3 linked regions of the Caenorhabditis elegans genome follow. The protein of the gene in region 1 purifies or fractionates together with the protein of each later gene. This does not show direct contact. Each region holds a gene or a part of one and is shown in the gene's direction. Other genes may lie near its edges. The genes, in order: hrpf-2, gpa-10 and Y49G5A.1.

Region 1 (11,677 bases):
GTAAAATTAAGAAACGGGGTTGAAATTTTGATTTTTACGTTAAATACTCTCCATAAAACCTTCAACGTTTTGCAAATACCTTATCCCAAATGCACTAGGAAAATGTAAATTTTAAAGTTAATATTTGCATTGGAAAAATTAAAAATTAAAATATTTTTTTTTTAATTATACAAATCACTGAAGACTAAAGGTGAAACCTATTCATACAACACAGTCATTGTTTTTCATAATAAAAAATTAATTTTTCTTTCAGCTAACAACTCTTGGATACGGAGACATGGTTCCATCAACAATAATGGGTAAAATAGTTGGAGGAGTATGCTCACTGTCTGGAGTGTTGGTTATTGCTCTTCCAGTTCCAGTTATTGTCAGCAATTTCTCTCGAATTTATCATCAAAATCAGAGAGCTGACAAGAGAAAAGCACAGAAGGTATGGTTTTTCGTTCAGTTGTAAAACCTTTTTAAACACTTAGTGATTTTTTTGCAAATTTGTTGGATTAAATTTAATCAATTTTCAGAAAGCCCGTCTTGCTAGAATTCGGATCGTTAAAAACGCGTCTGGACTAGCATTATTCAATAAGAAGAGAGCTCATGAAGCTCGGATGCTAGCATTTGAACAGGGTAAGTTGGTTTTTTTTTTCATTAGAACATTTCGTATTGCCGGCTTAAGTTAGTTATTATTGAGTTGTCACAAAAATATTTAACTTTGGAAATATAGAAAAGTATTCCATTTTGTTTTTCGGTCTCTTGGCATTTCTGTTGGCTCAAAAAAAGCAAATATAAAACATTAAAATTAAAAATTAATAAAAACAGTTCGTGATTCCGCTTGCTCAAGAGGGCACAAATTTTGAATCCGGTATAAAAAACAGATTCTGTGGTTTTTTTTTATTCCGTTTTTTTATATTTAATGTTTTAGGTTTTCGGTTACTTAATTTATTAGCAATGTGAAACATTAAAAAAAAATTATGTGTACAAAATTCTAGATTATAATTGAGATAACTCTAAAAAGTGCATTTTTGCAGGTCATCTCTCTTTCGATGCTCTCCGAGACGAAGATATCTTCGAAATCCAACATCATCATCTTCTTCAGTGTCTAGAAAAAGCGACGGAACGTGAATTTGTTGAATCAGAAGTGATGTTTGAAGGTGGAAGAAATACTCCTCCGCCCAGTGAAACAGCTTCATTGAAAGGAAAAACAAAGCGTAAAAGGCGATTGTGAGTTTTTGATTTTCAATCCTTTGAAGATTTATTAGTCTCTGGATTTCAGGGTAAAAAAATAAGAAAAAATTTTATACTATTCATCAATAAAATAAATTATCATCAAAAAAATTCACTGATGCTTTCTTTTCGTTAATGCATTTAAAATGGAAAATAATCATGAATGAAAATGAAAACTGTAGAAAATATTGTTGCGTTTTAAAATCCAAAATTCAAAAATATGCCTCTGCAACCCTGGCTAAGATGTCTGCTTGAATTCCCACCAAACATAGAACAAGGATATTAGGCAGCGTTGAAATACCATGTTTTCAAAAATTGTAGTTTCAATTATTTCTTGAATTTTTTTGAGTTTCTTCTTTGTCAGCAATATTTTGAGTATTTTAAATTAGAACCCCATTCGAAAAGTGAGTGTACCACGAAATGGTCTCGTTGGTGCAACTTTAGAGGGAATTCAAATAGCAAAATTGACAAAAGTGGAAAAACCTTAAATTCTTGATGTTGGATTTACTTCTTATTTTTGTCATTTTTCCTTGGTGATATTTTTGATTTTTGGATCACAATTTTGAGTTAAAACAACAAATCTCCTGAAATTTATTTTTTTTAGATGCTGTGTTTCAAAAGAAAATGAAGAAATGGAAGAGTTGGATCGAGAGACTCGTGTAACATTCAATCAGAATATGGATCAGGTATAAACTAACACCAGTTATTTGTTGAAAATTATATTATTAATTTCAGATTTGTGAATTACCAAAACCTGATGAAATGGAACTCAATCATCGAAATAATGACAAAATTTGCGTATCGCAACTGTAATCTACTTCTTTATTTTATTTTTTTAAAATGATTTCTAAAAATCATTTTCTATAGAAAATTTCTCTCATTGCTCTACCGGTTCCGTCTTTCTAGAAGCTAGTTGTTCTTTTACAAAAGTTTTCTGAAATCATCCCTCCCAACTATTCGGTTTCCCCAATCTCTCATCAACGATGCAATTTTGTTTTTTTCTGTAATTTTTACTTTTTCAAGTTAGAAACAAATATATTTCCATTGAACCCGTTTCCCGAAAAACTTCATATCGCTCTTTTTCTTTTTCAGTTCGAGGTGACTTTTCTCTAAATTTTCCCCGCTACTAGGAGCCTCTCCGATGATCTGCCCATTGGTGGCAGATGTCTTTCATTTTTTTTTTGATTTTTCAGATGGAAATATAAAATTGAAGTAAAATTAACTTTTTATGTGCAGTTTTTTTTTTTTCAATTTTCCAGGTCTGTCGATAAAGTTTTATTTATTTTCTAATTTTAGAAAACCACAAAGGGAATTACTTTTTTTTAACTTAGTGAGCTGGTTCATTTGTATCAGCTCATTGCTGAAAAAATGTAACTGTACAACATTCCGCTTCATTCCAATTGCATTTTAAACTACAAAAAACTTTATAAACAGATACATAAAATAATGCAATTATCAACAGTTTATCGTCGGGTTCCGTCCTCAAAGAAGATTCCTCCATCGATAGCACAATACTTTGGACAGATTCCCTTCTCTCCAACACTTCCTGCTTGTCCGGCTTGTCCAGCTGGTCCTGGATTTCCATCAGATCCTGGTTGTCCTGGTTGTCCAGATGGCCCCTTTGGTCCTGGTTGACCTGGTTGACCATTTTGTCCTGGAGTTCCTGGTTGTCCAGGTGGTCCTTGTGGTCCAGCCTCTCCTGGTGCACCTGGTTCTCCTGGAACAAGTGGCTCAGATGGAGCATCTTGACCTGGGTTCCCATCTTGCCCTGGTGCTCCTGGTTGTCCATTGACTCCTGGTGGTCCCTTTGGTCCTGGTTGACCTGGTTGTCCATCTTGTCCTGGACCTCCTGGCTGTCCATCAAGTCCAGCATCTCCAGCTGGTCCTGGTGGTCCTTGAACTCCTGGTGGTCCTTGTGGACACGGTTTGCATGGTGGTGGGGTAATTGGGTCACATGGAGCTTGTGGTGGACGTCCTGGATTTCCAGGAAGTCCAGCTACTCCAGGCTTTCCTGGACGACCTGGCTTTCCTGGGGTACCGACGGGTCCAGCTGGACCTGGAAGACAGCATCCAGAGCAGGATCCTCCAGCGGCCCCAGCAGATCCAGCGGCACCAGAATCTCCGTAAGAAGCTTGACGGGCGGTACGGTTGGAACGGATCGAGGAGACCTCGTTGAGAATGTCTTTAGCAGAACCCTTACAGTACCGGATCTCGTGATGAATACCCTTCTTCACGTGCGAGACGTAGTTGTAGACCATCGGAAGTGTGATACATACCTACAAAAAAGTTCATAAATGGGTTTTTGGACACAGTTTAATTTTTAATTCACTTCCAAATTATCAAAGAAATCATAATATTAGTCTTGTTTCTACGTTTTTACTCACCGAAAGTACTGCAACAACACTGAATGTAACAGCAGCATAGGCCACAAAGCGATACGCTTTAACACGAGTCTCCACCTCCATTTCTGAAGCCGACAAATTGTGGCTTTGCCCGTTTCTCTTATATATTGTTCAGTTTTTCAACGGTTTTCTCAACATCCGATACGGCTATGCTAGTTTTGAGATTCTAACCGATGCGCTGTGAACGAAAAACATCACAAAAAATGGAAGGATAAGAGGTTTTTCCAATTTTTCAAAAGACAATCTTATCAGTTTACATATAATTTGTGATCTTTTCCGTTTCTTTACATCAACAATTGTGGTTTAGCATGTAAATTCCGAGTGAATGCAATCATTAATTCCTTTTTTATATTAATTTTTTATTTGGCCATGGCGCCACCAAATTTGGTTTTTTCCAGAGATGCAAGTCCGCAATGTGTCGTCAAGTCTGATGCATGAAGTTCACAAGGTAAACGCGCTCCACTGCACTGTGCCTTTATCTTTCAAATTTATTTTCCTCGCAGAAAAATTCCAACAGTTTGAATTTTAATCGTTTTTTTTGCGGTTTTTTGTCTTATTTTTCAAATAATTGTCAGTTTTCTATTTTTTAAATTCAATATTGACTACAACGACCCTCTTATTATAACGAATTTTATGCATTTTCCAGTATGTCGGAACAAACAACACAACCGACAACAGAAGACCAACAGTCGGCAGAAATAGCAGTAAAAGAAGAGGAAATTGCAGTGAAAACTCAATCCGCACCTGCAGGTTCGGTTTACTCGTAAATTAATCTTTTAAACTGAAAATTTCAGATGCTCCAGACATTCATCAATCGACAATTAAGGAAGCAGACGAATCAATGCCAACAAAAATTTCTTCTGGAGAACCACCAAGAAGCCAATATATAAGATTGCGTGGGCTTCCATTCAATGCTACCGAGAAAGATATTCACGAATTTTTCGCTGGGCTCACGATTGAACGAGTCAAATTCGTATGCACAACTGGACGCCCGAATGGTGAAGCATACGTGGAGTTCAAGAATACCGAAGAAGCTGGTAAAGCTATGGAAAACGATAGAAAAGAAATAAGTAACCGATATATTGAAGGTAGGCGTGATTCTAACTAGAAAAAAACATTATTAAAGCTATTTAATTTCAGTTTTTACCGTCGAAGCGGACGAAGCTGAGTTCGAATTTCGTCCAGATCCAGATTCCAATGGAGAAGTTAATCACGTTATTCGATTGCGTGGTGTTCCATGGTCTTGCAAAGAAGATGATGTTCGTAAATTTTTCGAAGGTGAGTATAATAAGTATGTAGAAATAATCCAAATAGTCTGCCGGTGAAATGTAATGTACAATGCCTAGATTCCCCTTCCCCTCTTGAATTTTTGGACGTTAACTTATGGGTTTCCTTATTCTATCCAGGGCTAGAACCACCACCGGCGGAAATTGTAATCGGCGGGACGGGTGGGCCGAGATCGAGACCATCCGGGGAGGCGTTCGTTCGATTTACGACGCAAGACGCGGCCGAGAAGGCGATGGATTACAATAACAGGCACATGGGATCGAGGTGGGTATTGATGATGATGATGACTTATGGTAACTGCTGATTACGGGTTCATTTTGGTGAATTTTTAATTTTTAAAAAGTAATTTGTCTTTTTTCAGATACGTTGAAGTATTCATGTCAAGTATGGTCGAATTTAATCGAGCAAAAGGTGGAGGATCGGGAGGTGAGATTACAGTAGTTCACTTTAAAGGCGCATACTTGCTTTTAGGCGGGTCTTGCCACGATTTCCAGTATTTTAATTAATACTGGACCTAAACTGTCAAAATGTATATTTCATGTGAAAACTGAAGTCCTTGAAATCTCGCATTCTAATTAGACTTTTAAAGTGCACAGAAGAAGACATGATGTACCAAAAAAGGTGTAATTCATCGCAATTTCACAAAATCTTCTTAAAGGCGCACCGGTTTATTCTGATGGGCCTCGGTGCGCAATACGGTAGATTTTCGCATTTCTGTTTTTTTTTTTTTTCTTTCATTTCTCAATGAAATTATTCAGTTTTTCGCCAATCTTGCCCTTCCTTTTTCTCATTTTTCTGATAAAAAATAGAAAACGAGACAAAATTCGCAAGAAAAGAAGTGATTTAATTCAAAAATGCAAGAAACAGCAGCAAAAATTAAATAAAAACTACCATATACTCATTTTCGCGCCAAGACCCATCTGAATGAGCCTTTATTAAAACATGTCGAAATATTTGAAAAGCAAATCTGCGCACATTTCTGTTACGGTGCACATCAAATTTCAACATTTTAAAAATTGTCTCTTGAAATGCTCATTTAGTTTACTATTTATTGATATAACAAATCTTGATAATAAATATTTTCAATTTTTATTTTACAGAATACTCGGCATCTTACGAAAGAACTGGAATTCGCCCACTGATGTCCGTGGATTCAGGATATGACCACGGAAGACGAGGTGGTGGTGGAAGATACGGCGACAGCAGCTATGATCGTGGTTATGATGACTACAATCGTGGAAGTTATGGCGGACGTCGGGATTATGGATACAATGGTGGACACGATCAAGGAGGTCGCAGTGATTATGGAAGAGGAGGCGATGATCCGCTGAGGGTATGAGTATTTTTCTGCGATTGTAAAATAAATTATTTTATTTTTCAGGTGTATATGCGTGGTCTTCCTTATGATGCTGATGATCATGCTATCGCTGCTTTTTTTTCTCCACTTCGATGCCATTCAGTCAAAATAGGAATCAACGAAACTGGTCGTCCATCTGGAGATGCTATTGCGGAATTTGACAATTACAACGATCTTCAAGTCGCTCTCTCGCGTAACAATCAAAGAATGGGAAGACGGTAATTTGAAATTTATAATCAGAACATGGAATAATTATTGTTATTTGTAGATATGTCGAACTGTTTGATAATCGTGGAGCGCCTGGTCCAATGCGTCGTCTTCTTTGGAAAGAAACAAGTGGCACGAATGCATCAGCTGCTCCAGCGCCTGATCCGATTCTTAACGGAGGAAGACGTGGCGGAGGGCCACCACAACGAGACTCTGGCTACAGGGCAGGTCCTCAAGCTATGCCACCATCATACAGAGAATCAAGGGATCCATATGGCCCACGGGAACCACGAGGATACGATATAGAACCCAAATATGAACCACGAGGCATCCCACCACGCAGTGCTCCAATTCGTGCACCACCAGCTGCGCATGGCCGGGCTCCTGATACGTGGGGAAGTTATGGAGCAGCATCTACTGGTCCGAGTTATGATCAGAGCAGTGCTGCCGGAGGTTATGCTGCAAGCTGGGATGCTTATTATGCTTCACAAGCACAGTCTGCGTATTCTGCAGAACCTGCATCCACATATCCCACAGCTGCTCATTCTGCATATGGATCAGGCGAATCATATTCGTATGGAGCATCTGCTGGAGGAGCTTACGATCGTCAAAGAGAACCTAGAGACTCACAGCCAACATGGGCTCAGCAACAACAACCGTCTCATCACAGTGCTTATGGAGGATGGGGAGCTGGAGCTGGAGATCATCGAAGTGGATATTAATTATCTTCTTTTTTTTCTTTTCACTTCTGACTTCCTTTTTTCTGTTCCTGCCAAAATCCCAGTTCTTTCGATTTTCCAGACAAATGAGCATTGTTCCTTATAATCTAGTGTATCACTTTACTTTTTTCTCTGTTCTCCGAGGTCTCGGTTATTTATTATCTTGTTCTCATGATTTTCCAACGCGAACGTCTTATTTTACCTCTGTTCTGTTCAACTATCAAAATATCATGCTTTGATCTTCCTACACAATTTTTATTAATTAATAGATTTCTGAATTTGAGACTTTCATTGTTTTTTTTTTCTGTATCCTTTTTGATATTTAATGGCTGTTCGCCCCGCGTTTTAATATGTTACAATTTGGAAATTCTTATTTCTTTTTAATTAGGAAATGAGACATGGATAATTATTTCACTTCTTGGTTGTTTCATAGAATGTTGGAATGTTCAATTATATACTTGAGTGTACACTTTATTTTGTAAAATGACGATTCTCTATCACAGTCTATGCAGATGCGGCGAAAAGTCGAGACATCATGGCTGGAAGAGCTGAAAAAGCGTGTAAAATATCAAGAAACAAGTCGTCTTCAAATGGTCGAGATTCGAGAAACTTTGCTCGATAACGAAAAAGAATTGCGAAGTTTAGATTCAACATTGAAAAAGACGACGAGTTTTATGAAAAAAGTGAAGCTTCTCAGTGCGGCCACTGTTCCACAATTAATTGAAGAATTATCGAAATTGAATTTAAGCAAATTTGTTGAGGAAATGGCGTCGGTGGGTTCTTGATTTCGAATTCCATTGAAAATCGGATAATTTTTCAGGGAATTATAGAGACAAAATTGAAGTTATCCGATATTCCGAAAGTAACAGAGCTCTGCCTTGCAATTTCTGCGAAATATTCAAACTTCAGTGAACAGATGGCTGGGGAATTCAAAAAAGTTCTTCCTGTTAAAAAGAGTGACAAAATTGCAAATGTTGCAAAATTGAGAGTGGATATTATGTTAGATTGCATTAATAAGACAGTTTTCATCTGAGAATAAATAAAATATTTCCAGCTTCCTCGCTGAACTTTGCCTGTGTGGAGTTTTCAATGAAAAGGAAGGACTTCAAGTTCTCGGTGCTGTATTAAGTTATTTGATTCAAACAGATAAGACTGATTTTGTCAATGTTGGATTATTGGCTACAGTATCTAGAACTGTTGGATGGCAAATTGCAAATATTGTGCCAATTCCAATGGATGATGCTGAAACGGTCGAGATTCAAGACGGTTGTTATCTTTTTAATCAGGAGCGTATATTCATTATCAATGTTTTCAGAAGAACTCCCTGAGTCATCAGCTCTCTCAGTTGAACAGAAAAAGTCGATTCGTGAGCTCTTCAAATCATACTACGATTCACTTTATTCGAAAACCGAGAAAACGTGTTCGGCAAGAAATAAGGCGATGAAGAGAGTTAAACGACAGGAAAGAAGCCGTGGAGACGCTGGTGATGAGGAAAAGACAACTTTGAATGATCTTCAGTCTGAATTGGATTCTCTGCGGAAAATGGTACAAAAATTAATTACCCAATAGGAAAATTTGAGAAAACCCCTCATTTTAGGCTATAGAGATATCGTCTGCAATCGGTGTGGAAATGAAACCGCTAAAAGAGGAAGCTAGTGACGATGAAGAGGATGAAGCTGCCAACTTGGAGGTTTTTTGATTCGACCAAAAACTTGAACTTATTCTATATTTCAGATGGGACGCAAACTTGCAGAAGGAGCAATCAAGCTGTGGAGTGATGAAGAGACGAAGGCATTCTACGAGGATCTTATCGATCTTCGACAGATGGTTCCCAAGGATCTTTATAAAGAATCTGAACAGAGAACTCTCAGCAAAGCGAAGATGGCTGAAAGGATTGAAGATGTCGATATGGAAAATATCAATGAATCCGGAGCAATGGATGCGAAGAGATCATCATTACAACGTGGAGAGTCTGAAAAGGAGACGACACCAGAAGATTCTCAACTTCAAGCTCTTCTCAAAGAAGCTGTGGATGCATCCGAAGAACGAGGAGTCAGCAAATGGCAAAGTTTTGTACTTGATTTGGATCATCTTGTCAGCAAGTACTCAACTGACCAAGCAGCTATTTATTTTGTTTCGAATCTGAATAATAAGGGTTGTCGCAAGAGGCTTGTGAAGCTTATGATCGATCCACCTCCGTCTCGGATCGATGTTGTTCCATTTTATGCCCGACTTGTCGCTACTCTCGAGAATGTGATGCCTGATTTGACAACTGAAATCGTAACTCAACTACTCGAGAAATTCCGCGGATTTTTGCAACAGAAACCATCGTCAGCTACTGCTATAATCAAAGTGGAATCAAAGATGGTTTGCGTGATGATGATAGCTGAACTGATGAAGTTTGGAGTAATTTCTCGTGCTGAAGGACTCAGTTGTTTGAGACAACTTGTGTATGATTTACGTGGACATTCTGTAGAAATGACAGCGACATTCATGGAATCTAGTGGTCTTTATCTGTATAGACATACTGAATCACATGCAAAAATGAAGAGATTATTGGAAGTTGTGAAGGCGAAACGAGAACGAATGAAAGATCAAAGACAAGCGGTATGTTTAGATGAACTACATCATAATATTAATTCAATTTCGATATTTCAGATGCTCATAGACAATGCGTATTTCACCTGCCTTCCACCAGAAGATTCAAAAGAAGAACGTCTTCGTTTGAAGCTAGACGAAGAGGATACTCCAATGAAACGATTTATTCGTCACATAATTCTGGATATCAATGAATCAACCGTTGATGTTTTCTTAAAATGTCTTCGGAGGCTTGAATGGTATGATCCAGAAGTTGCTGATTATGCAATTCGTTATCTCTCCTCCACGTGGCTTCTTCCCATTGAAAATCTTCAACACGTGGCATCTGCGATTGCTGGTCTCTGTAATTTGGTACATCTTCAATGGATTGGAATGGCTGTAATTGATTCAACAATTGAAACTATTCGGTATGAACGATTTTCGATAGAGATGTGCGGCACATTTACACAGAAATATATATATAACTTTTTTTGTACTTTCTGAAAAAAATTGCTCTCAATGAAAAGTTTCGAGGCATTGCCCATTGATTCAAATCAGGGGTGTGCGGCAAATTTGCCGAATTTGCCGAACTTGCCGAGCTCGACAAATTTTGAGATTTGCCGCACACCCCTGATTCAAATATTAATACTGCATCGTACGGTTGTGTTAGTTTTTGAGCAACTTCCCAAAACTTTCAATTGAAAGTAACATTATTCTTAGAAACTATACATGTTTATCTTTATTTCTATTAAAATTTCCGAAAAAAATATTTCGGCACGACAATGAGAGAATATCGTTTTGTAAATGTGCCGCGCATCTCTCGTTTCCAGTTCAAGCAGCAAGCATAAGAGTTATTTCCAGAATATCCTTGGAAAATCCTGGAGTCTACAATCAATGGGCTCATTCTGCCGCCGTTTATCTTGCAGAGCTCTACAGTTTTGAGCTGTGTGATGAAGATCTAGTCTTGAAGATTCTCTATCAACTGATTTCATATCCAGAACCAGAAAATTCGTGGCGAGACCTGCACCGAATTCGAATGATTTGTGCTATGCTGGAAATTCTACGCGAGTTCTTCATGAAAGGCTCGGGAAAAATCAAAATGCGATATTTCCTATCATATTTCCATCGTTACTATTACATCAAAAAAGATGCCTGGGATCAAGAAGTTGCCGAACAACAACCGAATTCGGGAGGAGAAACGGGAGAAAATCAAAATCCTCTCGATGTTCAGACAAGGTATATTCAAAATTATGTTATGGAGCTTTAAACTATAGAAAAGCAATTTATTTGTTTATCTAATTTGAATTTCGCGCCAAAATGAGTTTTGTGTGATACTCGGCCGTGTACTCCTCTCGGACAATTAATTAATTTTTTCTCAGGTTATAGGCGTTTTTCGCATTTTTCCTTTAATTTCTTCGGATTTTTGTTTCAAAACAGGTAGATATACACGACTGTAATTACATTTTACGTTTGAAAGCATAAAAAACTACGGAGCATCGCTAAAAATCAGAAAAAAATTAATTAATTTGCTGAAAGGTTTATGCCTCAGTATCATTAAAAAATTCATTTTTGCGCGAAATTCAAATTGGGTGAATGATTTTTAAATTTTCGAAGCTCCATAATTAAATTGTAAGTTTTAAATTCGACTTCACCACTTATAAAATTGTAAAGAAATGCTTTAATTCTGTGATCTAATTTTCTTATTTCAGTTTCCCGTATGAAGTCGAACTTGCGTATACTGAATTGTGCCGTCAATTCCGCCAAAAGAAGTCCAATTCGCTTCGATGGCCGAAAAATTTGAAAGAAGCTCAAGATATAGTCACAAAAATTGAGAAGAAATTCAAGGGAGAGGTAGACAAACTAGTGAAAATACCTTTAAAACCTTTTAAAAATTGATTTTTTTTTTCAGT
Region 2 (10,554 bases), on another chromosome or scaffold:
TTATATTTGCTACTTGAAAATGGAAAACTCTTGAAATTAATTCCTCTGAAATTTTGAGTCCCAAGAAATCAGTCCTTATAGTCCTGAATCATGTATCTACATCGTACCAATGAAAAAAAAAGTATATATTATCTATTTTTATAACTTGGACTACAGATTTTGTGTCCATTTTTATTCACTTCTGTCCTACACATCGTTTCGTATTTTCCCAAAGACGTATCAAACACGATTTATATTTCGGTTCATGGTGATCAAAAAACCTCCACATTTTGAAATATTTTTAGAAGACAGATGTATTTTAACTGTTCCACCTTTATCACAGAAGGTTAGATGCTCTAACAATTTTTCGGTACCCCTCATACAAAAAAATATTTACATTATTTTTGTTCCTAAAATTTTTTCCCAAATAGTACAACATCCTAAAACCCTGAGAGTTAGTATTAACTTTTTTCTTAAATTATTCGCAAAAAACTCTCACAAGTTGCGGTGGTGTTACCTGATTTGTATGACAAACAACAATGGGAATGTGACGCGCTTTTGATATTTTTTAACTTATTATATTCTGAGGTTTTCTGCGCAACAAGAACAAAAACTTTTATTCTTGCTATTGTGGGAGAACTTTATCACTTTTAAAGTTAAAAACTTTAAGCCAAAACTATCTCAATCTATCAAAAAATTATTTACAACTATCACAATTCGAATTTTTGGTATAAATTTTTAAATCTTCATTTTTTCCAAACATCAGATGTTTTAACTAAGTTATTTTCTCCATTTCATAGATTTTAAACACTGCCATGTGTTCTCAAAATTGTTTTTACATTATTTAGCTTTCCACTCAGTACTTTTGCAAAATCGAAGAGATTTTTCCCATTGTATTTCCATAATGGTTTTTTTGCACAAATCAACTTTCATTTATTAGCATTTGAGTCAATTTTCACCTGTTTTTTATGTACCCCAAGAAACAAAAATCGCGTTTTCTAGTAAAGTCACTAGAGGCAAGATTTTTGAAAACGAATTTGTATATTTTTTTTAATATTTTCTTAACATTTCAAATGACGTTCACAGTGTTTTCTAACGTTTTTGCTGTTCATTGAAAAATCAGAAATCACTGAACCAGCCGTGCTGTTCAAGTCAAAATGATTCATTTTGACTCAGCGAGCAACACACACACACACTCCCCCACTCCTAATTTACGACTTGATTTTTAATAATTCTCATTTAGTGTTATTTGATTTTTGCTGCATTCATTTCAAATCTTGTACTTTCAAATCACGCTCATTTTTTGTGCTTACGTTTTGGTTTAATGCTCCATTGAGCCATCACAAGCTTCCATATTTGAGATATCATTTTTGCGACGAGAGAAAAATCATGATGTGAGCCAATTTGTTGTTGATTAGCTCTCATTTTTGACAGTGAGCATTTGTCAAGTGACCTTTTTTTAATTTTGTAATTTCTCAAGAAATATGCATTTCGACAAATACTTTTTTTTAAATTGAATTTTGAATACTTCCTTTATACAAAGACTTATGTACAAGAATTTAGAATATTCATTTTTATTGATTTTTTTGTGTCTCGTAGGGCACTCATTCAATTCCTTATTCCGTTTATGCAGGTGATACATGAGTTCACCAAACCAAAAACAGTTTTCCAGACAACGTGTCTTTCATTTCTTGGAGTTCCTAAAATTTTGATTATTCTAGTGAACGCCGGGAGATTTCGTTTGGCGTAGGAAGTGTGATAAGTAATTTTGTTATACTCTTTGTATATCAAACAATAGAAGTTCAGAACAAAAAAAAAGTTTCGGAAGTGATTCTAATCCTGAAGCTGAAATTTTATTGTTCATTTTTCTTAAATTTGAAGAAATTAAAACTTCCGGGAAATTAACTAATTTTTAAAAATCTGTACGTTTCTACAACTTCTTTCACCTCAAAATTCAAATGCAAAAACTTGTCAGTTTATCTAATTTCCTAAACACTTCGAGAGTGGGCATTTCATAGGTACGGTCGGTTTCTGGAATTTACCCTGGTCAGCGAAAAAAAAATCTGCTCGTGAGCAAGAATTCTCAAAATTGGAGATTCTGGTTCCAGCTGGTCGAAAACATAAATAAAATACGTTGTCTGACTTTTTTTTTGCTATAAATATCTCTAAATGTTCTAAAGTCACCATATTATCCCAGACAAAAATTCCATGATCTGTTTATTAATTTTCACAAAAAAATTTAGGTGATAATTCTGACATTTGTGATCTGAAATCGTTTAAAAATTATTTTGAGGTTCGTAAATGTAACTTCAAAAATCATTCTTATCAATGTTTAATTCCGGTCTTTCCAATATTTCATACAAAATGAACGAACTCCGAATTTGGCTTGATTTTATTTTAATCTTGGCATCTTGTGGTGCATGATTCGGCAAGAATAATTCAATATCAGAAAGTTCGAACATAATTTTTTTGCAATAATCTTTCCGCTTTTATTCGTTTTCAGACTCACAAAGACATTTAACTCATTTACTTTTTATTATTTTAGCTAGTGAAGTTTGAGATTTGGTCCCAGTGTTATTATTGATATCAAGACCAGATAAACTTGTTTCCGGTTTAACTCACAACAAAGCTAACGATTTCCGTTTGCGTGTCGTTTAAAAAACTTTACTCAATTGGCGTAGTTCTCTCTTTTTCAAAACGCTTTTCTAATCTATCTATTTTTCTGACCAGCTATCATAAAACCATAGCAACATAAATGTTTCCCTATAGAGCATCGGGTATTCTGTTTTTTTTTGATTGATAATATAAATATATCTCCCTCTAACCCAAATACACAACCAACAATCACATTATCTTTTTTCCTTCTTTTTGATCATTCCCACGCTCAAGTAGTCTCGCGATTTTTGAGTGTATTTCATTCAACATGCAAGTCAGAAGTTGTTCTCGTGTTTTTGTTTTGTTATTCACCTTTTAGTTTCTTTGTTACAGAGAGGCTTAATTGGGAATCTGCGGTAGTCAAGGAAACCGGGGGGAGAGGACCGCCGCTAATCATCACTACCTTCCTTCTCATTTCATTTAATCATAACTTTGCTTTTTTCCCTTTTCTTCTCTCGTGTTCTCCACAACTTTTTTTTTACATTTTTGTGTTGTCACGACTTTTAAGCCTATGTGATTTTAAATTTGTGTTGAGCTCATGCGCTTTTCGGAAAAATTTTGCGAACATAACGATTACAACTGGTTTCAAACAAAAATGTAATTTATCGCCATTTCATTTAAATATTTCTTGACTTTGACGGGTAGTGAAAAAGTGTTCAGATGTTTTTCGGTGAACCAAAATCTGTGGTTTTAGAGAAAGTTTCCAAATGTCATTTTGAACGTTCTTGAAAAACTGGTTCATCTTTAACATTGAGACAAAAAACAATTTGTGTTAAAGAAAAAAACATCCCAATCTAAAGTACAAATCTACAAATCTAAAGTAACTATGTTCTTCACGTGCTACCATGTTGCTTTTTCATGGAAAATTATGGCGTCACACAAGGTCTTGAAATTTAGGATTTACCTATCTCTCTTTAAGTCTAACAAGTTCTTTCGAAATTATATTGTCGTTTCTAGTGTTGATGACTTTTGAAAATTAGTCAACGAGTTTGGTTTCATCCCGAGTTACGTATCTATTTATTTTTTTTTTTTGGTACATATTCAGTTTGTCGCGCGGCTTTGAAATACGGGTTTCAAATAATTTTTTTTGAAGGAATGTTCTCTTGCATTGATGGATTTGAAAATTCTCATGAAAATAGTAACTTTTTTTGACGAAACTTGTACATTCTCTCTGAGCAATACAGTGGAAATTGACTTTATTTCCGGTGTGAAATCTACATTTTCGTTGCCGAAAAGTCTGTTCAGTTTGTCTCGACAAGCTTTCTGAAACTTTTTTTTTGGCATGACAACATGTTTTGTTTTTTTTTTTCTGATTAGTCATTTCATTTGTCTCGTTGTCTAAGTTGAATCTCGCTGGCATCCTATAATTAAAGTTTGCGTTCTCTATCATAATCGTCATAATCTTTGAATTATTTTTGTTCTTTCAAAAATTTCAATATATGTTCAGGGAAACATGGGGGTCTGTCAGTCATTTGTACTCACTGACGAGATGAAGGATCAGATCAAAGTTAACAAGTCAGTTTTTGAGTTACATGTTTCATAATTGTCGTTAATATTTCAGAGAAATAGAAAAACAGCTCGAAAAGAAGAAAAACATGCAATTGGAGCAAACCGTTCTTCTACTGGGGCCTGGTGAAAGTGGAAAAAGTACTGTCATGAAACAGATGAGGTATATTTGATTTTTTAATAATTCTTGTACATGACCTAATATTTTGAATTAACAACGGGAAAATAAATAGGTTTCTGATTATACCTTGGGAGTTGTGTCTGTTTCTTTCTGTTTACAGTTTGAAAATTAATTAATAACTATTATATTTCCTGTTATATGGGTAGCCAAACATTCTATTTTCAGAGCCATGACTGGAAACTACACAAAGACAGAACTACACGAACGAAAAGTGCTAATTATACAGAATTTATGTCAATTTTCTGAGATGTTGTTAGAATACGTCAGAGAATATATTTTGGAGATGACGGAAGACGATGATAAAGTGAGTTTTGCGACCTCTCGGGTTTTATTAGGTTTCAAATTAAAAACTTTTAGCGATATACTGTGATGTGCGAAGAACTGAAAATGGCGGTAATTCATGATGGAATAATGAGACCTGAACTCGCCGATACACTGAAGGAATTCTGGGGAAACAGTGCAATACAGGACGCGTATTCCAAGAGAGACACATTTCATTTGACAGATAGTGCCAAGTAGTGAGTTTTTTTTTTGGAAACTTGTAGCGCATTCATAGTTAGAATTATAGAAAAATGTTTCAATTGATTCAAAAACACGTTTCAAAAATGTCTGAAATGTTTCTTAAAATATTCTTTTATGTCACACAGTTATTATTTAAATGTTTCGAGTTATGTATATGTTTGTTCGTTCACAAATAAAACCAAACTACAGACATTGTTCGTGTATCTGTCATTTGGTCTAACGGAACATGTAATTAACAGGTCTAGAAAAAAAAAATTGTGATAGTGATCGCTGAAGTCTATGATGTTAACTTGTTTATGTTCTTGTTCTAGCAGGCAAATTTTGCAATAAAAAATCAATTGAATAACTACATTAAATTATCTCAAAATTGTGTTATTTGAACTTAATAATTCATTTTCAGTTTCTTCGACAACATCGACCGTATAAAATTGCCAGGCTTTGAACCGACAAATCAGGATATTGTTCACATACGGGTACCTACAACGGGAGTTGCACAAGTCGAAGTTATTATGAACAATATCAAATTGATGATTTGCGATTGTGGTGGACAACGATCTGAAAGACGAAAAGTTGGAAATTTAACTATTTCTTTGTTTCCTAATTGAGAATTTAATTTCAGTGGTATCACTTTTTCGATGAGGCTGACGCTGTTCTTTTTGTAGCGGCTATTAGCGAGTTTGATCAGAAGTTAGCGGAGGATGAAGAGACGGTAATTTTTCCAAACAGCCACAAAATTGAAACGAAAAATTAAATTTTAGAACCGTATGCATGAATCCATCAGATTGTTCTGGACAGTTTTTAATGGAAAGTTTTTCAAAAAAGCGGCAGTCATACTTTTCCTGAACAAAATTGATTTGTTCGAGGAGAAAGTAAAACATGTGAAGATTAAGGATTACTTTCCAAAATTTGAAGGTTTGTTTTCCAAGTTTTTGAATTCATAGTTTCATGTTTCAGGAGCAAACACAGTTTCAGAAGGTACAAAGTTCTTTCGGAGACAATTTAGAGAAGGGATTCACCCGGACTTCAAAAAAAGAATGTGAGTTTTTGAGACTACAGTTTTGTGTCTACTGCACTTTTGAAAATCTAACTATGAACTTACAAACTAAAAGAATTCTGAACGTATTCGACTTCTTGGATATTTTTGACTTTTTTGTGCCAGTATGGAACACTAACAGTACTAGAAAATAAAATGTAAATTTCAAAAACGTAATTTTACAGGTACACCCATGAAACATGTGCAATATCGGATCAAGTTCAAATAATCATCAATACAGTGATAGATACAGTTATTCAAGATAATCTCAAAGATACGGGAATGATATGAACTCCAATCGCTCTGCACAAATTATTGTTCTTCAATTTAGTATCTGCCTCAAACAACGTGTGTGATTAGTAATAATTATTCCCTATTCTATTTGAGTGGTGTCATTTTTTATTGATTGAAATTTATCGTGACTGAAACTCTGATGAAAATTTGTACTAATTTTCAGTGTAAAGTGAGAACCAAATAAGATTAAAGGAACATACATATTTATTCGAATCTCTTTTAGAAGAAAAATGTTCAATCGTTTTTACCTGACTTTTCACATCTTCTCAAACAAAAACATGCGACAAGATAAATGGACAGAATTCCAAAAATATACGGAAAGATAATAACAAGGTATACATCTAAAAGATTTCTTTGAATGAATCCAAGTGTCCTCCCATATGGATCCATTTCCGGGAACGGACCAAATTTTGCAACAAATTCAGTGTATTTGACTACGGTCTCCTTGGGATTTGTTGGTTGGTTTCTCAACATTTCTGCCAGTTTTTTAGAGTTCTTCTTAAAATGATCGTCGTTCAAAATTGAATAAATGGAATTTTTCACAAGTTCCCTTTTCCAAAGATCGTTTCGACTACAAGAACTCCTCCATGTCTTGCCAACATCAAAGAATTTCTGTTTTGATCGGCAAATACTGGTACCATTAATGCTGGTTTACCAAGATACGCAAGTTCAGTTGTGCTACCAAGACCTCCATGTGTCATGAATGCTGTTAAACGGTCATCATTTAGTAATGCGGTTTGAGGAATCCATTTTGAAAAATGAATATTTTCAATTTCTTCTGCTCATTGCAAATCATTTGTTTCATATTTCCAAATAAGCGTTACATTTGGTAAAGATTTAATTGCATTGAAAATTTCGTCTCTGAAATACATATCTGATTAATATTTTGATTACAACAGTGTGAAAATTATTAAAATAATTATAACTTGAATATGGAGTGGAGTTTTTGGAGTTTTTGCCTGAAAAACTGGCTTGAAAAAAAATGAATTCATGGCTCGAAAACTTCAAAAAAAAAAAAAAAAAAACTTCATAAGAAATAAATTATCAAAATATGAAAAATAAGAAAAAAATATGAAAAATAAGAAATAAATTATCAAAATAAATAGAAGCTTTTAGTCAAATGTATCTCTTTTTCAAAATATGAACCTTTAAAATGTCAATAGTTTGATGCATTTTCAGTTGATAAGTAGGCAAATCTTTCAGCTTTTGTGAGTCTATCGACTGAACAGGAATGGTTCATCTAATAGAAGTCACCAGGTTTACATAAGTCAAAAAAAAAGAAGACGATGTCTACTAATATCTACATACGTACCTGAACTGTGAAGGCATATCCACATTATCAATGAACCAAAAGAGATTAGCATTGTTTGTGGTCTTTTATCCAAAACTTTACTCCACTCCACTGGGAGCCTTTTCGATTTTATTTCTTCCATATTCACGGAAATTCCACCAATTGGAACTGTCTTTTGGGTAATAGTTCTTGGAAAGTCTACATATGGAATTGAATTTGTGAAGAACAATGAGCAAGCTGGCATTAAATCTCTCCAATGTGGAACGCTATCTCCCAAATATTTTTTTGTAAATTTCAGTTTCTTTGTCCCAAACTCCAAAATCTTTTCTATATATTGCTTGTGTCATCTGATAGTTTTCCACTTTTTCAGTTAGACCCATCTTATCTCCACATTTGCTGTACATTCCAGGAACATAACTGAAATCGATAGATTCCCCAATCGTAGAAAGAACACCGTCGAAGAACATATACAACGATGCCATTATGATTTTTTCAATTCCTAGAGCGTGCATGTACCCGAGACCACAGACAAGTTGCGGTTCAAAGATTCCAACATCGAATTTTTTGGACTTCATTTCGTTAAAAACTATCCTGTTTCTCATCAAATTACTGCATGCCAATTTAAATGCGTCCGTGAAAACGGAGAAGATCTAAAAACTCAAAATACAAATAAGTTAATATTTTCAAGACTTTTTCTTACGGTGTCTGCGTTAGAAGAATCGACATCAGTGGTCCAATATTTTGTCATATCACCATCGAGTGGTTGATTTTCTCGGGGCATCTCCTCGTCTTGCTGACATTCAAATTTTGATAATGTGTCAAATTTAGTAAAATTAAAAGTGAAAATGAAGATCTTACAAAGGTTTTCTAAATTAAAAAAACCTACTTGCATCTTGGCAATTTTCTACTAGATTAAAACTTTTTTTAATATTTATGAGAAAAAGTTTTTGATAAAATTGAATTATCTACATATGTCTGGACTATTTGTTTTAAAAAATTGTAGGTGTTTTATTCTAAACTTTTTATTTTAGAAAAACCATATTTCTCCTAAATTACACAAGTATTTTGAAAGAATTTGCATATGCTAGAAAATATAAGAAAATGATGTACTTTAGGGTCATTTTTAAGACAACTTAATATACTTCTAGATTATTATAAGTTAGTAACTTACTGATCTAGATGGGTAACATTCGATAGATATCAAAAATAATAGAAATGATGACAAAAATTGTGGATTTTTGATTGTTATCGTTCGGTGTGATTTGTGACAGTATCTTTTACATATTGTATCTTGTAGTAAGCGCTTTTTTACAAAAAAACAACGTAATGATTACATCCGAGAAAGAAATGTACACTTCAATGTTCTGAAATTTCTAAATTCAGCGGTTTAATAAATATATTCAATACAATTCCTCAAGGCTTTCGTGGTATGTATTATATACAGAATGACATTTAATTAACATAATTAACTTTTAGCATAAAAACTATAAAAATTCGATTTTAAAAACCGGTGGGCACGTGGGCTGAAGCTCAAGAAATGTTTCCAAAATTAATTTTCACCCTGGACACGTTTTAAGCATGCTTGCCTAGGTGTCCACCTACGGCCTATTTCTCGGGTTTTGCACACACTGCGAGTTTGGTGTTCATACTTTGTAGCCTCCTTCTTTGATTTCAATAAATTGCTTATCAGCATTTTTGTTCACTTATGGGAAAATTGCGTTACCTAAATGAGAGGACAATGTCAGCTGGTCATTTTCATTTCAAATATCTTTTCCTGGAAAAAGTGTTCCCAGTGTTGGCCCTTTTTATATCATCTTCAGCCCTTAAACTCTAATTTCTGGTCATTTCTATATTCTCCCACACATATGCACATTCTTGTTTTGTACGTTTTCACGCCGCTTCAAAATACCGAACCTCGACCTTTTCGGAAAGGGTGGGCATGGACGGGGGTTAATACACAACTGAATCCAAATTCCTTTTCTGTTTCCAATTTCCAAAAAAAACGACGATTCTTGGTGAAGAGATGAGTGCATTTGCTGCGTCTCCCCCTCTCGTTACTGTTCACTATTTTTCAACACAGAAGCATCCCTCAAACAATCAAATTTCTGCTCAACATCATCTCGACGCGCGCGGCGTGAACGAAGAAAATCTGCATCTTATTATAAATGTCGAGGTGAATTTGTGCGCGCGCCGGTTGTGGCTCTGACAGAGGCAATGTGCTCCCGAAGAGCACCCATCGTCGGCTGGGTCCGTCGAGAGCAGACGTTTCTCTCGAAGATGGCTTCTAGTTTTGAGTTGTCTGATCTTTCAAGGTAGTTTCAATATAATTTCTTACATTAGGCTGTAAACTCTCTACATTCATTGTAAAATCATTTACTATATATAAAGCGCTTATTCTGTGTGTCCATAGTTTGTATTTATTCTGTGTGTCCATAGTACAAAAACATTTGATAAAAAGCATTTGAGATTGAAATTTTAGTCTCAAAAAATATTCAAAAAACTCAACAATTATCCGAAACAATTATATTTTCTATTATCATTTTAGTGTATCCAACTAAATTGATATGTTTTGTTTGTGTAAAAATAGTTTACACTTGGTTACATCATCATTTACTATATATAAAGCGCTTATTCTGTGTGTCCATAGTTTGTAGTCTATGTAGTCTTTGTAGTCTGTGAAGTTTTGGCTTCTGTGGGGATAGTGAGTTGGGGTTAGTGTAGGGATATAGTCGGGGTACTGTAGTGGTACAATAGTGGTACGGTAGGAATACTGTAGGGTTACGGTAGTTTCATAAAAAATTAATTTTCAGCCCCAGAAGTCGGGGGCCGCGCCGAAGGTGCGGTCCACGGCTGGTGTTTAATAATTAATCTTAAAATAAGCTGAGTATTGTTCAAATTTAAAAATTAAAAAAAACCGTCGAGGATTTTTTTTGTGATTGAGGCGCCTCTCCCTGCCTCTCTACTTGCCCGCATCGTGCGCTGTTGACAGTCTTGTGAGAGCTATTGGGAGGATACTAACATGTTATTCCTTGCTAGGTATTTTTCAGTAATTTCCCTATCATAATTTAATTTTTACATAGGTGTTTTCAGGGT
Region 3 (9,414 bases), on another chromosome or scaffold:
GTTGTAAAACAGAGAATATCTAAATATAGCCTGAAAACCAAAAAGGCCGAAACTAGGTCGCTCGTTTGCGCGGGACTAATTTGCAATTTTTCAAACTGTGAAAATCTGAACGAACTTTTTTGCAAATTTTGATTCCATCCATTTTGGCTATGAATCATTCAAATTTAATATCCTGTCTGCTACTGATGATTACAGGAAATTTGGGTGAAAAGTTGAAAGGTTAATCTTTTGTAACATCAGGTTTTTTTGAAAAGTTTGATAGGTTACAAAAAGCTGCATTATTTCAGAAAAAAATTAACTAGTTGAGAGGTGAAAAACGGTTGACAATTGGCGAGTTAATAGAGCACCAAAACCACTTTCTCTAAAAGGAAGAGCTCTCACTCATAAAAGTGCTTCTCTCTTTCCGCGACTCTTTTTTCTTCTCTTTTTTCCTTCTCAATTTCTACTTTTCTTTCTTTTTTTCCTCCTTATTTTCTACAACCGATTCATTCATAGGCTATGACGTTGTGAACAACAAATGTTTCTTTTTTCTTTGAGAAAAATCAGAAGGCGTTGATGGAAAAGAAAATGTGTCGGAAATAGAGCTGAAAGAAAAAAATTGGATTAGGTTGTGATGCATCATCAAAAATTTGTTAATTTGATTTTACAGAATGTGTGAATCTTTTTTTTTCCTACAACTTTTATTATAATAACTTCTTATCAATTTGAAAATAAATAAATAAATATCGAGTACATCTGTAAGTGTTAGGACACGTGATAGAGGAATAGGGACGAAAGGAATAAAATGGAAAAGAGTAGGGGGGATGTCCCGCGGGAATTCTAGGACAACAGCAGCAACCAGTCTGACGGGGCGCTTATGGAAATGAGCAACCGATAGAAAAAAGAAGAAAAAGACCAGTTATGGCTGAAGAGATGGTGTCAGGAAATTCACTTTTGGAAAATATGGTACATCAGAGAAACAAATGGCGGAAACAGTGGAATTTAAAATTTGAAAGTTTAAAGCCGCCAATTTATAGAATCAGAACTGTTGAATCAAAACGACAAAAACATACTAAAAATGTTTCATTTTAAAGATGCTCAAAATAGATGGTTTCTTACGGTAGGTTTAGGTATTTTATAACAAATTGGAAATTTGAATGTACATGTTTTGGTTATGAATCCTGAAGAACAAAACCAGAAAAAAAGGATGGGCTATAAACGGAATGCCGGAGCAGCTCATTCACGCGTTTCCAGGAGCAAGAATCTCCGCACGCGCGATTTATGGGCATAGTGTCGACGAATGAGCCAGAGCTGTGGAGCTTATGTTTTAACGGCTTTGTACACTTTTAGGGGGTTTTGGGCACTATTTGAAATGAATCGGAATGAAGAAGTACTGTTGGCAAATTGCTCAAAATTCTGAAAATTCCAAAAGCACTCCAACAGAACAGAACTTGCCCTAGTTTTGCCCAAAAAATATTTTACCGTATTCCCGTATTCCCTCTTGCACCCGGATTCTATTTTTTACCGTATATATTACCGTATTCCCTCTTGCACCCGGCTATTCTACTTGAGTACACATACCACTCTGTTCATTTTGAAAATTTTGCAAAGTGGTTGAATACAAAACTCAAGAAAAATAAGTAGTGAACATTTTGTCAGGTGACAAATGTTTCATAAACTCAACGAAAAAGTCTATAAAGAAACGGTAGCTTGGTTTAGAACAAAGTTGATATTTTCTGGCTAGCAAAAATCGTGTTCAACAAAAAAGTAAAACAAATTAGTAAAATTTTTGAAAATGGGTTATAAATTTCTTTTCCAGTTTTTTTCAGCTTTTGGTCGAGATGTACCTAGAACGTGCGAAATAAATTGAAAAACCTACTCTATATCAGTTCTCGTATCTAATGAAGCAGAGTAAAAAACCAACAATATCCAGTGCAACGGAGCAAACTAACATCATTTGCAGAATATAAATCAAACGAAAACAAATGTTCGTTTTGTGAGAATCTTTATAAAAAACAGAAAAAAATAAGACAACATCAATCTCTGATCGTGATGTCAAAGCCTTCTCACAATGAGAATAAAAGGGGTGAATTTGAGTGGTGTTGGTTGGAATCGAATATCTTGAAGAGCTCCCCCCACACGCACTGATGAGATGTTGCCAAGGAGCAAAGGAGCAGAATGACGGGGATACAAAGGATAACGAGAAAGAAAAGGACATTTGGGGAAGACTGGAGGAAGGGAAAAAATGAATCAGAAGACATTTTCATCCACGTTGTTCTTGTTGAGAATTAGAACTAATTGGTTGATTGGACGGATTGACCGCCTTGGAACATATTCGTCCAACAAAAAATAGCTGGAATTTGTTGAAAATGGGTGCATCTAGAGCATTTACAAGTTTTTTTGACTGTACAATTCTGTACAATTATTTTTTACGGTGTTGATAAGTTATTAAAAATTTTATATTAGTAACTATTTTTCAGTTTTTCTCATTGTGGTAGTTCTAAGTAATGTAGATTTTTTTCTAAATACTTTGAATATACAGTAATATTCGAAAATGGGAAAAAATTTTCAAAAGTCCTAATTCTGAAATTACGAATTTCGAACTCTCGGTAATCTCCTTTTTTGAATTTCCTCTAAAACGAAAAGTGCAACCAATCAGCGATTTGCTCCGCCCATGTGTGAACCAATCAGACGGAGTGTGTTTAGTTCAATCTGATTGGTACGGAAATGGTTTCTCTCTATTTTGGAGGTAATTCAAACATGGAAATTAGTGTGAGCAGGAATTGGCGAATACTTTTTATATATATTTTTTTTTTAATCTATATTTTTATCGAATTTTGTTGATGGCAAAAAATAAAATTTTCTTCTGAAAAGAAAAATCCAGCATTGTAAGCAAAAAATATAATTTATTTTCGAAATATCGGATTTTGTGAAAAATCGAAAAACAGACACCCTTGATTAAAATATTTATTATTTCAAAAAAGAGTGTTTCCGAAAAAATTCACAAATCAACACCTTTAAATTTAATATTATTCCCAGAGAGGAACATTGCAACATTTTCGTTCAGTATGTCATGAATTCTTCACTAAATAAGCCATCTTCACTAAATAAGCCATGGTATCAAGGAAGTGTAGATGATAAGTGGAAAAAAAAAGAACCGGACGATGAGAAACAAGAAGCAAAAAAACGAGAAAATGAGAAGAGTGTATGTGTGTCTTTTGAAAATGAGCACTCTTTTGGAGCACAGGCAGAGCAAAGTGGATTCTGCGCTGGGAAAACACCGACTAGGCAAAGGCAGATAATCAAATTGACCCCATAGGCTAATAGTAGCTGCTTTTCGCAATAGAGACTTGACTATAATGATTCGTTTTTTTTTGTTTTCTATTTTATTTTTTGGGTTTTGGTTTTCTATTCTGACGTTCTAAATCAAAACCTTACTTTTCAGTTTTTTTTTGAAAACATACAATTACCAAAACTTGAACCCAACAACTCAGAAAGAGTTGCCATAGCACATATTCAATCAACGGCGAACAAAGTAACAAGTAACAAAATTTTGTTATTTTTTGCGGAGAATTTCAGAGAAAAGCAACTGCAACGAAAAAAGTAGACGTCGAAGTGACATGAAAAGCAAATAAGGAATCGGAAATTTGTGAGTTTAGCTGGGGGATTACAGAGGATATATTAAAAAAATTTTAGGAACAAACTTCGCATGAACGGAATAAACAAGCACGTGGACCGGAGAATTTAGGTTACTCGAGGTCTATTCTCAAATAAGGCTTTTGAGTTGGGTTAAGAAATTAGAAAATTATGTCCAAGAGATTTCCCAACTTTTTGGAAAAAGTGAATAGGTGGCAGAAAGAAAAATTGCGTTAGAGTAGTTTTTCATATATAATCTTGACTTTCAGATGTTTTGTAAAACATGTGAACAACTATAGGAGTTTTCAAGAAACTTTTCTTTCTGAAAAAAATATGATCACTTTTAAAGGCTTCCACATTTGGAGCAGGGATGTGCGGCAAATCTCAAAATTTGCCGCGCTCGGCAAACTCGGCAAATTTGCCGTTTTCAACAGACTCCGGAAAAATGTTATATTTTAGATGTATTTTGGAGCACCAAAGATATCACACATCTGATTTCTGAATAAGTTTCGTGAGCTGTGTCAGCTTAAACATCAAATTAACTCCATTTTGTGGAATTTTACTAAATTTTAGGGGACAAATTCAATAGTTTTGGGCAAAATTGTTTTGTCAAATTTTTGGTGTGCTGCAAATTTCGAAATTTGTCGAGCTCGAGCATCGTTGATTTGAAGCAATTTGCACTGGAAAAATAATCAGATAGAATTTTATCCTGATCACAATACTTGTCAATTTTTTGTAGTAGCCTATTTTAAAATTTCTTTTTTTCAAATGGCATTTATGATCTCCGTATTGGTAATCTCTGTGACCAGGAAGTGATTCAAAGAATCATTCACGGTGATACCAAGAGCGTTTATAAAATTTGCTGAACAGTTTTTTAGATGGTTTGGCCACACAACCATATTAATAATTGTTTTATTGGACTTTTAGGTAGAATTTCAGATTGGAAGATTTCTGGGTGTTTTGTCAGCTAGCATTCGACAATTGAAAGAGATTTACGGATTTTTCTAAACGAATCTATACTAGAACTTCAACCAAACATTATCCAGTTTGACCTTCTTCTTATCTAAACCAGGAAGTGTTGAGTATAGTCATTCGATTTCTTTATCTCTCAACGTGTTTATCCATTTCTCCAGTAGTATAAAACGGTGATCATTTCAATTATTCTGTCAATTTTGCAAAATGAATCTTCTTCTTACCTTTTTGGCTACTATTCTGTGTGTCAGTGAGTTAGTCTCGACACTTCAACCGGAGTGCAAACTTCCATTGGACATGGGAAAAACACCATGTAAAAATGGAAAGAAGGAGATAAGAGTGAGTTTTGATTTTTCAAAGCTTTCATGTCGCTTTTTTTTGGAAACTTTGGAATTTTTGGAAATTGGAAAAAAATATAGAAAAACATTGGTACTTTCTGAAAATAGCTATACGTTTAATTGAAAATTCCGAGAATTTGCTCAAAAACTGACTCAAAAGTCAACGTGCCGAAATAACACTGAGACTGTAAGTCTTTTCAAAATTTCAACTTTTCAAAACTTTCAACAAAAGCAAAATTATTTTCAGAAACTAAACATATTTCTCAATATTTTTATTTCATAAAATTCATAAAGTATAAAGTCTTAATAATTTACAGTACCACTTTGACCAAAAATCCAATATCCCATTGGCTTTTGAGTACAGTGGATGTGGAGGAAACAAGAATAATTTCAAAACTGAGAGTGAATGTCGATTTACATGTACTGGATGTATGTTTTTTCATTTGAATTTTTTACTTTAAACCAAAGTATTTAGATGATCAATCGGGATGTGCCGCTGGAAGTAAGCCAATAAACGATAAAAACTGCCAAACCGATGTAAGTTGCTCCATGTTTTTGAAAAAATCTGTAAAAATTCCAGGAAGAATGTGGGCCAAAAGGTATCTGTAGGTACTCTAATCATATTAATATTTGCTGTGACAAGAAGATTGAAAAGTTGATTGAAGCTGATTATGAGCCAAAATGTCCAAAAGGAAAGAAAGTTGCAAAAATTGTCGAGGGTGGAATCCCTACAACGATTGTTGGGAAGAGTTGCAAATCAAAGTTCTGTCCAGCTGGAGCAACCTGTGTGGAGGGAACATATTTTGCCACTTGCTGCAATTAATTATTTTCGGCCGTGCATGTTTATCTATATAAACTTTTTTATTAATGAATTAATATAACTAATATAACCTTTTCCAAACAATTCGTCTGAAATCTTTAGATTTTCGGACTCCAGCAAATATACAAAGCTATCGATTTGTATATGATATCCCACTGTTTTAAATGAAAAATTTAATGTAGAAGCATATTATAAAAAACCAGCCGTTTGCACGTGCTCCGACTGGCGTACGGTAAATTGTTTTAATAAATTTTAAACTGCTAATGTAAGATTTTTGTACAGTCAACACTTTTCCTGGAGTTTTGCGGAATTTCAAGAAAATTCTAAAACTTTTCCAGAGTTTCTAGAAAATTCTAGAACCATCCTGCTTTTTATGTAAAAAGTCCTAGAAGGGACAAATTTTAAGCGCTTTCAGAATTTAATTACAAAAATTTCCAGGTGCCAGAAGCTTTCAGTTTGATCAAAAAAACTAAATTTCATGCAATATGACCGCATTTTTTTATTGGGAGATTTACTACGTTTGCATTACTTTAAAAATTAAGACTCTGGCCGTTCACCAAAATTAGTGACTCTGGCCGTTCACCAAAATTAGTGACTCTGGCCGTTCACTAAATATAGTTACTCTGGCAAAAATAGTGACTCTGGCCGTTCACCAAATATAGTGACTCTGGCCGTTCACCAAAATTAGTGACTCTGGCCGTTCACTAAATATAGTTACTCTGGCCGTTCACCAAGTATAGTGACTCTGGCCGTTCACCAAATATAGTGACTCTGGCCGTTCATCAAAATTAGTGACTCTGACCGTTCACCAAATATAGTGACTCTGGCCGTTTACCAAATAAAGTGACTCTGGCCGTTCACCAAATAAAGTGACTCTGACCGTTCACCAAAATTAGTGACTCTGGCCGTTCACCAAAATTAGTGACTCTGGCCGTTCACCAAATATAGTGACTCTGACCGTTCACCAAATATAGTGACTCTGGCCGTTCACCAAATATAGTGACTCTGGCCGTTCACCAAATATAGTGACTCTGACCGTTCACCAAATATAGTGACTCTGACCGTTCACCAAATATAGTGACTCTGACCGTTCACCAAATATAGTGACTCTGACCGTTCACCAAGTATAGTGACTCTGGCCGTTCACCAAATATAGTGACTCTGGCCGTTCATCAAAATTAGTGACTCTGACCGTTCACCAAATATAGTGACTCTGGCCGTTTACCAAAATGAGTGACTCTGGCCGTTCACCAAAATTAGTGACTCTGGCCGTTCACCAAATATAGTGACTCTGGCCGTTCACCAAAAATAGTGACTCTGGCCGTTCACCAAATATAGTGACTCTGACCGTTCACCAAATATAGTGACTCTGACCGTTCACCAAATATAGTGACTCTGGCCGTTCACCAAAAATAGTGACTCTGGCCGTTCACCAAGTATAGTGACTCTGGCCGTTCACCAAATATAGTGACTCTGGCCGTTCACTAAATATAGTTACTCTGGCAAAAATAGTGACTCTGGCCGTTCACCAAATATAGTGACTCTGACCGTTCACCAAATATAGTGACTCTGGCCGTTCACCAAAATTAGTGACTCTGACCGTTCACCAAATATAGTGACTCTGGCCGTTCACCAAAATTAGTGACTCTGGCTGTTCACCAGATATAGTGACTCGGACCGTTCACCAAAATTAGTGACTCTGGCCATTCACCAAGTATAGTGACTCTGGCTGTTCACCAAAAATAGTGACTCTGGCCGTTCACCAAAATTAGTGACTCTGGCCGTTTACCAAATAAAGTGACTCTGACCGTTCATCAAAATTAGTGACTCTGACCGTTCACCAAATATAGTGACTCTGGCCGTTCATCAAAATTAGTGACTCTGGCCGTTCACCAAAATTAGTGACTCTGGCCGTTCACCAAAATTAGTGACTCTGGCCGTTCACCAAATATAGTGACTCTGACCGTTCACCAAAATTAGTGACTCTGGCCGTTTACCAAATAAAGTGACTCTGGCCGTTCACCAAAATTAGTAACTCTGACCGTTCACCAAAATTAGTGACTCTGGCCGTTCACCAAAATTAGTGACTCTGGCCGTTCACCAAATATAGTGACTCTGACCGTTCTCCAAAATTAGTGACTCTGGCCGTTTACCAAATAAAGTGACTCTGACCGTTCACCAAAATTAGTGACTCTGGCCGTTCACCAAATGTAGTGACTCTGGCCGTTTACCAAATAAAGTGACTCTGACCGTTCACCAAAATTAGTGACTCTGGCCGTTTACCAAATAAAGTGACTCTGACCGTTCACCAAAATTAGTGACTCTGGCCGTTCACCAAAATTAGTGACTCTGGCCGTTTACCAAATAAAGTGACTCTGACCGTTCACCAAAATTAGTGACTCTGGCCGTTCACCAAATAAAGTGACTCTGACCGTTCACCAAAATTAGTGACTCTGGCCGTTTACCAAATAAAGTGACTCTGACCGTTCACCAAAATTAGTGACTCTGGCCGTTCACCAAATAAAGTGACTCTGACCGTTCACCAAAATTAGTGACTCTGGCCGTTCACCAAAATTAGTGACTCTGGCCGTTCACCAAAATTAGTGACTCTGACCGTTCACCAAAATTAGTGACTCTGACCGTTCACCAAAATTAGTGACTCTGGCCGTTTACCAAATAAAGTGACTCTGACCGTTCACCAAATATAGTGACTCTGGCCGTTCACCAAAATTAGTAACTCTGACCGTTCACCAAAATTAGTGACTCTGGCCGTTCACCAAAATTAGTAACTCTGACCGTTCACCAAAATTAGTGACTCTGACCGTTCACCAAAATTAGTGACTCTGACCGTTCACCAAAATTAGTGACTCTGACCGTTCACCAAAATTAGTGACTCTGACCGTTCACCAAAATTAGTGACTCTGGCCGTTCACCAAATAAAGTGACTCTGACCGTTCACCAAATATAGTGACTCTGGCCGTTCACCAAAATTAGTAACTCTGACCGTTCACCAAAATTAGTAACTCTGACCGTTCACCAAAATTAGTGACTCTGACCGTTCACCAAAATTAGTGACTCTGGCCGTTCACCAAAATTAGTGACTCTGGCCGTTCACCAAATATAGTATTGTTTCAATTTTTTCGTTTTTCAATATAAATAAATATAATTCTCAAACCAATCAACTTCTCTCCTATTTCTATTTTTGTAAGTCCTTCAATTGACCGGTTTCAACTCTCAGAAAGTGAACAATTCAAAAGAGATGTGTGTTTCGAAAATCAATATTATGTTTTACAGATAAAGCATATTGATCAGAAATTACTGTGCATTGATCCTTCGTTTAACTATAATGTTTTCAAAAAGTTAATATTTTAATAAGTTTTTTTTTAAATTTTCTCACTCCCCAGTTTTAATTCTTTCTTGAAGTATTTTATTCTATACAGTAACCTTCTCCATACAATTTGTTTACGTTGGCGGCTGTCACAAAGACCGCACCGCAGTTTCTGCGGGAACACCAGATGGACCTAAAGAGTTTTCAAACTTGCCGACAAGATTCGGGATTACTGTCACTTTCAAAGTGGATATGTTAGTTTTTCCACCAAAATTCCATGCAAGTGTTATTTATACGTAATAGATACTGTGTTGACTGTTACAAAGTGTCATTGAATTGAC

The links.
Region 2: the proteins of hrpf-2 (region 1) and gpa-10 fractionate together in Caenorhabditis elegans (co-fractionation; one large-scale study listed by BioGRID). This does not show direct contact.
Region 3: the proteins of hrpf-2 (region 1) and Y49G5A.1 fractionate together in Caenorhabditis elegans (co-fractionation; one large-scale study listed by BioGRID). This does not show direct contact.

What each region holds. Positions count from the first base shown.
Region 1 is NC_003282.8:6,369,113-6,380,789, reverse strand, and holds hrpf-2 (RRM domain-containing protein), read left to right. Parts: upstream 1-4,266; 5' UTR 4,267-4,267; coding exon 4,268-4,370; intron 4,371-4,414; coding exon 4,415-4,708; intron 4,709-4,760; coding exon 4,761-4,898; intron 4,899-5,026; coding exon 5,027-5,171; intron 5,172-5,268; coding exon 5,269-5,333; intron 5,334-6,007; coding exon 6,008-6,240; intron 6,241-6,288; coding exon 6,289-6,482; intron 6,483-6,532; coding exon 6,533-7,193; 3' UTR 7,194-7,656; downstream 7,657-11,677. Other genes in the region: shl-1 (BTB domain-containing protein), read left to right, coding at 254-430, 519-621, 1,023-1,215, 1,823-1,904, 1,954-2,031; bli-6 (Nematode cuticle collagen N-terminal domain-containing protein), read right to left, coding at 2,682-3,494, 3,603-3,683; smg-3 (MIF4G domain-containing protein), read left to right, coding at 7,703-7,963, 8,011-8,189, 8,245-8,456, 8,506-8,735, 8,788-8,880, 8,925-9,797, 9,849-10,195, 10,629-11,003 and 2 more.
Region 2 is NC_003283.11:6,848,337-6,858,890, reverse strand, and holds gpa-10 (Guanine nucleotide-binding protein alpha-10 subunit), read left to right. Parts: upstream 1-4,079; 5' UTR 4,080-4,087; coding exon 4,088-4,149; intron 4,150-4,195; coding exon 4,196-4,303; intron 4,304-4,486; coding exon 4,487-4,625; intron 4,626-4,678; coding exon 4,679-4,839; intron 4,840-5,243; coding exon 5,244-5,412; intron 5,413-5,462; coding exon 5,463-5,552; intron 5,553-5,601; coding exon 5,602-5,755; intron 5,756-5,797; coding exon 5,798-5,879; intron 5,880-6,061; coding exon 6,062-6,167; 3' UTR 6,168-6,370; downstream 6,371-10,554.
Region 3 is NC_003283.11:5,282,741-5,292,154, reverse strand, and holds Y49G5A.1 (BPTI/Kunitz inhibitor domain-containing protein), read left to right. Parts: upstream 1-4,781; 5' UTR 4,782-4,794; coding exon 4,795-4,926; intron 4,927-5,242; coding exon 5,243-5,354; intron 5,355-5,400; coding exon 5,401-5,462; intron 5,463-5,505; coding exon 5,506-5,748; 3' UTR 5,749-5,812; downstream 5,813-9,414.